Daphnia pulex: one gene and its partner. The protein of the gene in region 1 purifies or fractionates together with the protein of each later gene. This does not show direct contact. Links are inferred from orthologs where the notes say so. Each region holds a gene or a part of one and is shown on either strand. Other genes may lie near its edges. The genes, in order: serine/threonine-protein kinase ATR-like and replication protein A 32 kDa subunit-like.

Evidence for each region.
Region 2: the proteins of serine/threonine-protein kinase ATR-like (region 1) and replication protein A 32 kDa subunit-like purify together in Homo sapiens (affinity purification with western blotting; 3 studies listed by BioGRID, with this or other methods). This does not show direct contact. The link is inferred for Daphnia pulex from reciprocal best matches to the Homo sapiens genes ATR and RPA2.

Annotation. Positions count from the first base shown.
Region 1 is NC_060021.1:4,790,128-4,794,584, reverse strand, and holds the start of serine/threonine-protein kinase ATR-like, read left to right. Parts: upstream 1-1,612; 5' UTR 1,613-1,848; coding exon 1,849-2,122; intron 2,123-2,191; coding exon 2,192-2,541; intron 2,542-2,601; coding exon 2,602-2,763; intron 2,764-2,851; coding exon 2,852-3,080; intron 3,081-3,140; coding exon 3,141-3,262; intron 3,263-3,326; coding exon 3,327-4,457. Other genes in the region: NFX1-type zinc finger-containing protein 1-like, read left to right, coding at 1-26, 96-1,188. UniProt on the Homo sapiens protein: Serine/threonine protein kinase which activates checkpoint signaling upon genotoxic stresses such as ionizing radiation (IR), ultraviolet light (UV), or DNA replication stalling, thereby acting as a DNA damage sensor.
Region 2 is NC_060017.1:2,573,515-2,577,060, reverse strand, and holds replication protein A 32 kDa subunit-like, read right to left. Parts: upstream 2,173-3,546; 5' UTR 2,030-2,172; coding exon 2,011-2,029; intron 1,952-2,010; coding exon 1,866-1,951; intron 1,809-1,865; coding exon 1,707-1,808; intron 1,644-1,706; coding exon 1,530-1,643; intron 1,471-1,529; coding exon 1,279-1,470; intron 1,222-1,278; coding exon 1,069-1,221; intron 1,008-1,068; coding exon 928-1,007; intron 865-927; coding exon 783-864; 3' UTR 605-782; downstream 1-604. Other genes in the region: sodium-coupled monocarboxylate transporter 1-like, read left to right, coding at 1-8, 69-236, 315-447; CWF19-like protein 2, read left to right, coding at 2,501-2,584, 2,671-3,546. UniProt on the Homo sapiens protein: As part of the heterotrimeric replication protein A complex (RPA/RP-A), binds and stabilizes single-stranded DNA intermediates that form during DNA replication or upon DNA stress.

The DNA of each region.
Region 1 (4,457 bases):
GGCAACGAAGAAGAAGAAGACGCCAGGTTTAGAATTTGTTAAATTGTTTTACTGCTTCTTTACTTAATTTTTGTTGTTGTTTCTTGTATGTAAAGATTCATCTACTTGGAAGATTGCCAGCATACAATAGAAGTAGATGGGATGGATCATTGGATGGAGATGAAAGATGAAGAAACTCGTGAAATCCAAATGAAATGCTGCCCGCGCTGTAAAACCATTATCCGCTCATGTTACCGTTACGGAAATGTTATCAAGCGAAATTTCGGCGACATTGTGGAAGTAAAGAGGATGCTTTTGCGTTCTCGTGAAAGCCCCAAAGATTTCGCCGAGAAGCATTTAAAACAGATTGCGACATGCCATACCCTAAATACTGAGCTGACTGGTAAACTCAACCATGGCATCACTGATGTTTTAATTTTTGGATTGGAAGGAATTCGGAATAACCTCACTCCAACTATTGTCCGAAAAAAACCCGAGTATAAACGTTTGGATGAAGATACGCGCTATCTGATCCAAGTTCAAGTTGATGTCATAGAAAGAGTTTTGAGCGTCGTCAGAAAATCCCCGGTGATTACAGCAACTGGTAATCAAGCTCCAATTGGATATATGAGTCGCCCTTTGCTGGAGGATCTTTTAAATCGAACGCAACAACTTCTTTTGTCTCTTTTCCATCGCGAAAGATTTGCGTCTCAAGAACATGAATGTTTCATTGCCGAAGTCAACCGCTTGAACTTGATTCGAGCCTTCTTTTTGTTGAAGAGCTCCTCCACCTACAACAGAAACTCTTTGATAAACGAAGAAAATCGGCAGGTAGAAGAGCTGTTGATGAAGAATGTGAAGCCATTGAGGGATCGTGAGATCGTGGTGATCAAAGAAACTTTGCAGAGGATGGGCAAAAAATTGAATACTGGACTTGGCATCAGCGACATCGAACGTAAGGAAATTATTAAGGCCATGGGACTTACACAGGGACACTGGTTCAAATGTCCGAATGGCCACATCTACGCGATTGGAGAGTGTGGAGGAGCAATGCAGGAAGCCAAATGCAACGAGTGCGGCGCCCAAATCGGCGGAGGGAGTCATACGCTTCGATCAGACAACCGCGTTGCAGGCGAAATGGATGGGGCTCGATTTGCTGCATGGTCAGAGCAGGCAAATAATATGGCCAATTTTGAAATAGATGATTAAGTGTTATCATTCATCTAATCTATCTATCAAGTGTTCGGTTCTTAGTGATACCACGGTGATACAGTCATTATGGACATTTCTTAATAACTTTTTTTTTATTCATTTTCGCTCGCTGGCGTCTAAAACTCTAAAGCAAGGAATGTATGATGCTGTTTGTCCCCCAAAAAAACTAAGTTTTGTATTGTTATTCAAAATATTTTGGTGGACCACATGAAACAATATTACTCTGTCTGTATTCATTGTTTGGAATAAGGAAATTCTTCTTCGACTCTGGTTTCTTGTAATAAAGTTGTAATGTCTTGTCTTCTTGAACTCGTTTTCGTAATTGATTAATTATAATAACCTAGACTTTTTTTAAATTTTTTATCGTAGTTATTTTTCATTTTTTGCATTTTCTTTACTACTGCCTTGTTTTCTTATTTATAATCCGCCAACGCTGAAATGTAAGATGGGCGCCAAAACCTCTTAAACTGGACTTTTTCTTTGAATCCGTCTGCTATTCACACGTGATCGTAATTTGCTGATGCGGGTGATATGGTTGTTGTTAGCTTTAGTTTTGCGTTAGTTTCGTGGTGTGTGTCGTGGTACTTCAAGGTGCCCCGTTTCGTTAGTACTTTGTTTGCATAGTTTCGTTAGTACTTTGTTTGCCAAGTTTACATAATGACATCTTTAGCAGTAAAAGTAGAACAAAGTCAAAAGACTACAACTATGGAAATTCAAGAAGAAAGCTCAACAAGTGCTCACTTCAGTGCAGTTTCGGATCACCGGAAAATGATGGCCTTGCCTGCTTTAAAAATTTTAGCTGACCTAGATCATTCAGAAAAAAGCTTTGTCGTGTTGATGTCTGTCATGGACAGATGCTGCCGTGAACCAAATAATCAAGGTGTTTTTCTTGGATGTGGAAATAATGAAAACGATCACAGTTTAGCTTTTGGTAAGATTTACATTTCTGTTAATGTCTTATGCTGGTTTCTCTCAAAATTAACATCTGTTTGTTTTGCAGCTTACACTAAATGGTTCCTTGGCAGATTCGCCATTATATTTACTCGGAATTCATACATGAAAGCTTTTAATCCATTTATTGAGCTGAATGTTAAAATTTTGAATCTATTCAGAGATAAAGAACCTGCCCAATTTACTGCTATTGTTAATGAATATGCCAACTTGTTGAAGGAATTGGTAGGAATTGTATCAAAACAATCCAATGAAGAAGTCTGCAATAGAAGCTTCAAGCTACACTCCTTCGTTCTCAAGGAACCAGTAACACTTGCAGCAGATTGCCTTTTAAAGATGGATGGCTTGCAACTAAATTCATTATTAGAATGCTCCCTTCTGCAAAATAGCATTACCAAGGTATCTTTTGTAAATTACAATTTTGTTAGTGTTCTACAAAATATTTTTGCATATTTTTAGATTTTTGCTTTGTCAGCTGATGGCATTTTGCAATATAACCATCAATTGTGTGACAAACTTGTTTGTATTTTATTGGATCAACTAAATTATGGAGGAGTTAGTTCATTTAAAGCTACACTGGACTGCCTTGGGAAAATCATGATTCATAATTATCCAGCCAGAGTAAATATTTCACACATCCTTAGGCTCTTATTATGGTTTCTATTAACATTGTGGTAAATATATTTTATTCATTTATTCGTGCTGTCAGGTTCTTGAGGTTTTTCTAAGCTACGCATACCGCCTAGTAAACCTATTAATGGATAAAAGCAATCCACTGTGGCTTGGAATTAGTGAAGATAGCTACACAGAAATAGAAATCGCGCTAACTGACTGTCTCAGTCGCCTATCTAGTCTTTACGGCTTGAACAATGTAACTAATCACCAATACCTGAGGCTGATCAGTTTTATTTTACTTCATCAAAAATTCCACCAACCTTGTATAAAATATTCAATATATTTGAATGCTTACAATAACATTAATTTTGAATTTATTCTAGCTTTACTTCCCAATCTTTTACAAAGTATGCTGGGCGCACTTCAGAAATTTACATGCCCGGAAACAATTTCTCTTTGTAGATTCACACCTGATTTATGGATCAAGCTGCTAAAGCATGCTAAAGTAACTGACCACAGAATTTCATTAAACAGCAATGTTTTATTACTAAATTTCTTTACCTGTGTAGGTTGCCATTCCACCCTTACTTATCATCTTGCAGAGTGAGATGACGCCTGGAGACTGTCCCATGGAAGTTGATGAGCCACCATCTGCTAAGAGACTAAAAATTGATTTTCTTCCGCCATCGACTTCTTCTACTTTATGGGAACAAATTAAAAATAGCTGGAAAGAAATATTGAATCAACAAACGGCAAGTCAATCAATTGAGATGACCGACGCTATTGCTTTGGTTAGGATCGCAATCGTTGGAGTCAAACTGAAACTGAAATGGCGCGAAATGAACTCGGTCTTGGATGAAGCCGACTTCGAAAACTTAAACGGAAAAATTTGTGAAATTCTTTTAACCAATGAAATCAACAGTGAAGATATGGACGCTTGGATGGATATAATTTGCGAGTATTTGGTCTGCTGTATCCCACTTACTTACGTCGGAATCGATAAGAACGTCGCTATAGCGTGGTTTGCCCTATCGTCTCTTCCTTGGCTCTCGGCAGTCTCTGAATCATGTGACCTGGAAGCCAAATGGATACAGGCCAGTCGAAAATTCAAGTCTTCTTTTCTAAAGCGCCAGAGCAGTTTCGCCAGCTGCTTTGTGAAATTCCCCGTCGCCTTTTTTAAACCTTGGGCCGTTGACATTGGCTTGAAGATTTTGGACATCGAGTTTCTTCAAGCTGACGCTGAGGCACTCATCCCTTCTCTTCCATGGATCGTCCGCCACAGCAAGTCGTTCCGCGAATCAATAACACAATGCTTAACCACCATTTTGGCTTCTGGTTCTAGAGAAGAGATAAGGGAGTTAACAAAAAATGGAGCAGACCTTGTCTGTGCTCTATCAGGCAAGATGAATGTTGTTAATAATCCAGAAGATGGACTGAGTTTACGGTGCACTCACAATCTCGAAAATCTTGCTACATCATTAAAAGTAAGCATCGTTCCTGAAGATATGGCGCTCTTCTTCCTCGAGTTTGTCTTTGATGAAAATGATATTTCGCTACTCCACCGCGTGGATCTTTTTCGATCGGTTCTTTATCATTCTGCTCGAACCGAAGCCCTTCGTTTATCAATCACCAAGAAACTGCACAAAGTGGCGCAAATTTCGGTTGAAAAAAATTTACCATCTCTTCAACGAGCCATCTTA
Region 2 (3,546 bases), on another chromosome or scaffold:
ATTCAAAAGTATGAGTCCGTTTCTAGATAATAATTTGAAACTTAACGCGATATTTCATTCCATTCTAGAGCGGATGCATTTGTGCTCTTACGGATTTCGTATTTGTGGTACACGGTATTGAGCGTGGTGATCGTCTTAATCATTGGTACCATTGGAAGCATTTTGTCTGAGCCGCAAGATCCTGCAAAACTAAATCCCAAGTTACTTTACCGAGTAAATCATAACCGTCTATTAAAGTAAGATAACTTTAGCAAAACATTTTCTACATGTTAGCGAGTTTAGCTTTAATTTTTGAATCAATAATGTTATCATAGTAAAGCGGCACTCCAACCAAGTGATGAAACCGATGGCGCTACGGTTATTCGTAGGCAACGAAACGGGATATTACTGTGGGAACTTCCAAGAAGATTATCACCAATAATAGAAGTAAATTTGCCTGATACCTAACATTTACGTCTTCATTCTATGATGTAAATAACATTTTACTTCGAATGCATCACAAACACTTGCCATAGCAATTAGACATGATCCAGTTATCCGTGGTCATTATGTACCTGATATTTGAATATACTGAAAATGAATTATCCGATGTAGATCCGATGGATTTTAGACGATTTAAGCTTTTATGTTGAAAGACAGACAGAACTGAACCATTTCAAAACAGTTGGAATTAATAGCTTCAGGATAAATTCCGCAGACTGAGTCGACACAGTTTTGAGTATAATGTATCTATTCTAGTAGATATTTAATGAGAATGAAGGTACAGTACATCTTAATCTTGTTTAGCTATCGGTCGATTTGAAATGGTCTTCGTCCACCGTAGAGTAAATATGTCCCTCAGAACAAAGGAATTCCAAAGCAGCACTAATAAAAAATTTAAATTAAAATCAATGAAAACATGTTTGTCTTCCACATCAATACACTTACTCTACATCACGTGGGATCATTCTTCCTCTGACAGAATTGTAGATCTGCGACTTTTCCATGCCGGTTTCCGCTGTTGTTGCCTAAAAATAACATGGTTTTTTATTGTTTGAATTTGATCACATAGATGACAAATGAATCTACCTGAATGATGGTATAAACCATAGATTGAAAAGATGACAGTCCTGACATGATACCGTTTGCCACATTGGAAGTAGCTGAGGATGAAGAAGCTAAAGGCCCAGTCATTCCACCACCCATCACTGAGTTATTCATTGATTGTCCTGTTCCTTCTCCCTTTATAAATAAAAATCATTTACCTTTGTTCAAGCATTCATTTGAGTTGTTCATTACCATTTTTCTCTTCATCTGTCTCAACTTCATACGAACCCATTGCGTCTCTAGCAAGTGGGTTGTTATTTCGTTAGCAGTTGTTAGTTTCGCAACACGAAATGCCATTACGTGACGGCGATCCTGTGTCTGTCTAATAGATCCAACAACTCGACAAAAATTCCCTTCCACAACTTGAAAAGGTGATTGGACATTCTGCAAAAATAAATTGGAATAAATAATGAGTGAAAACATATGCAGAACACAATACATACCCCTTCACCCTCAATCCACTGAACAACTTCAATAGAACCTGTATCATCCCTTACAGTGTACGAAACATTAGTCTGTTTGGATTCAATCTGTTCGACAGTACCTACAAATGTAACCTAAAAGAGATAAGTTGTAAATCATAAGTAAATGTAACTCAAAGTGAAGATAAATATGGATACCATGTGGGCTTCAGTATCTTCTATCTTTAGTTTTTCATCAATTTCATCCAATATATCTTTGATATTAACTGGAATGATATTATGAGCCCGTTGAGCTCCACCCTGTGAATGAAACAAACATGAGAAAATGTCTATGAGATATTAAAAATGTCTTCAAACCTTCTTTTCTCCAGGAGTATTAACTGTGCCTCCTGGAGTTCCAGCATTAAAGAAACCACCGGCCATTGTTCCATTTCCAAAATCGCCTGTAATGGAAAGAATGTAAAGTTAATAACACAAAGCTTGACAAAATTGTATTTATTACTTGCTGATTGATCCCACATTATAGATTAATTCAATTATTCGTTTAAATTTGTCGTTCTCAAAACAAAACGTAATGCACGTGAATCACTTCAATCAGGTATGCAGACGTTGTAACTTGTACTGCGTCTATCCACTGTTTTCTTTTCTTTATAGATGGCGGGAAAACTAGTTTTCGCAATCCGATGTTGACGAGTTGGAAACATTTGATATCAATATTGAATTAAATGGCATCTTTTTACAATTTTTACTACAATTGATAATTTTAATTAACGTTTTTATTAACGTTTTTAAAATTTATTATATGCTTGTAAAAAAAATTAAAAGTTGAACCGGATGACTCTGGTTGAACAAATTGGCAATGCTTGTTTTCGCTTCAAAACGACAGACGTCAAAACGAATGTTTTCGTTTTTGTAAATTTGATTGAAAATAATTTGTGTTGCTTTTCTAGTTTTCTTTTTCAAGTTTTAGCCCATAGAAATAATCCTTTGAAATGTCGATAAATTTTGAAAATTCTAAAGACTTAGATGAAATGAGACAAATGAAACGAGAAGCGAGAGAGGCAATTCTTGCGAAGGTAATACACCATCACATTTCACCAATTTGATTTAATAGTATTTTACTGGTATACATTTGGTTTAGTTTATTTTTCTTTTGTTTTAGGCAGAAAGAGATTATGAGAAAAGGAAAGCTAAAAAAGAATTGGCCAAATTAAATGGTGAAGACAAATGGATGCTGCCTGAGTTGGATGCTCAATTGTCCGGTAAATCCAAAAAAAGTAAAAAAGAAAAAAAACATAAAAAGGATAAGAAACATAAAAAAAGCAAGAAAAAAGACAATTCCTCTGATTCTGATGAATGGGTAGAGAAAACATCTGAAACAACAGAACCCGCTTCATCTGCTCCTCTTGAGAGAGATGAATGGATGAGTGTGCCTTCTTTGCTTCCAATTTTCAGTAACAGTAGCATGCCTCCCAAACGAACATCCCTGAACAAGAATGAAGAAATTGCAAGAAAGACCATGATGGAAAAACCAGGGCAGTCAAGTAGAGAATTAAATCCATACTGGAAAAATGGAGGAACTGGTTTGCCACCTGAAAGAACTGAAGCAGAATCCTCAAAAAGGCATGATAGTCCTAATAGTCATGCAGTATCTTCCAATCCTTCAGAAAGAAAAAAACAAAGAACCTCAGATAGAGATTCCACACATGTTAGTAGCAGAGATAGATCAAGATCCCGAGAGCGAAAACATCCAGAAAACATTAGAAAATCATCAACCGTTCAAGAAAGATTCAGAAGACCAAGTGAGAGTGACGAAGTTGTTTCCCATACAAACAAACGGTTTTATTCTTCGCAACCAGGATGGAAGAAAAATGAAGCCAAATCAAGCAACCCAGTGGATTCATCGACTTCTTCGTCGTCTTCAGAAAGTGAAGAAGAAAAACAGGATACACAGCCACCACAAGAAGATGACAAAATATGGACTGAACAGGAATTAAATGCTCTCGGAGCAAAAATCATCAAAGCCGAAATCATGGGA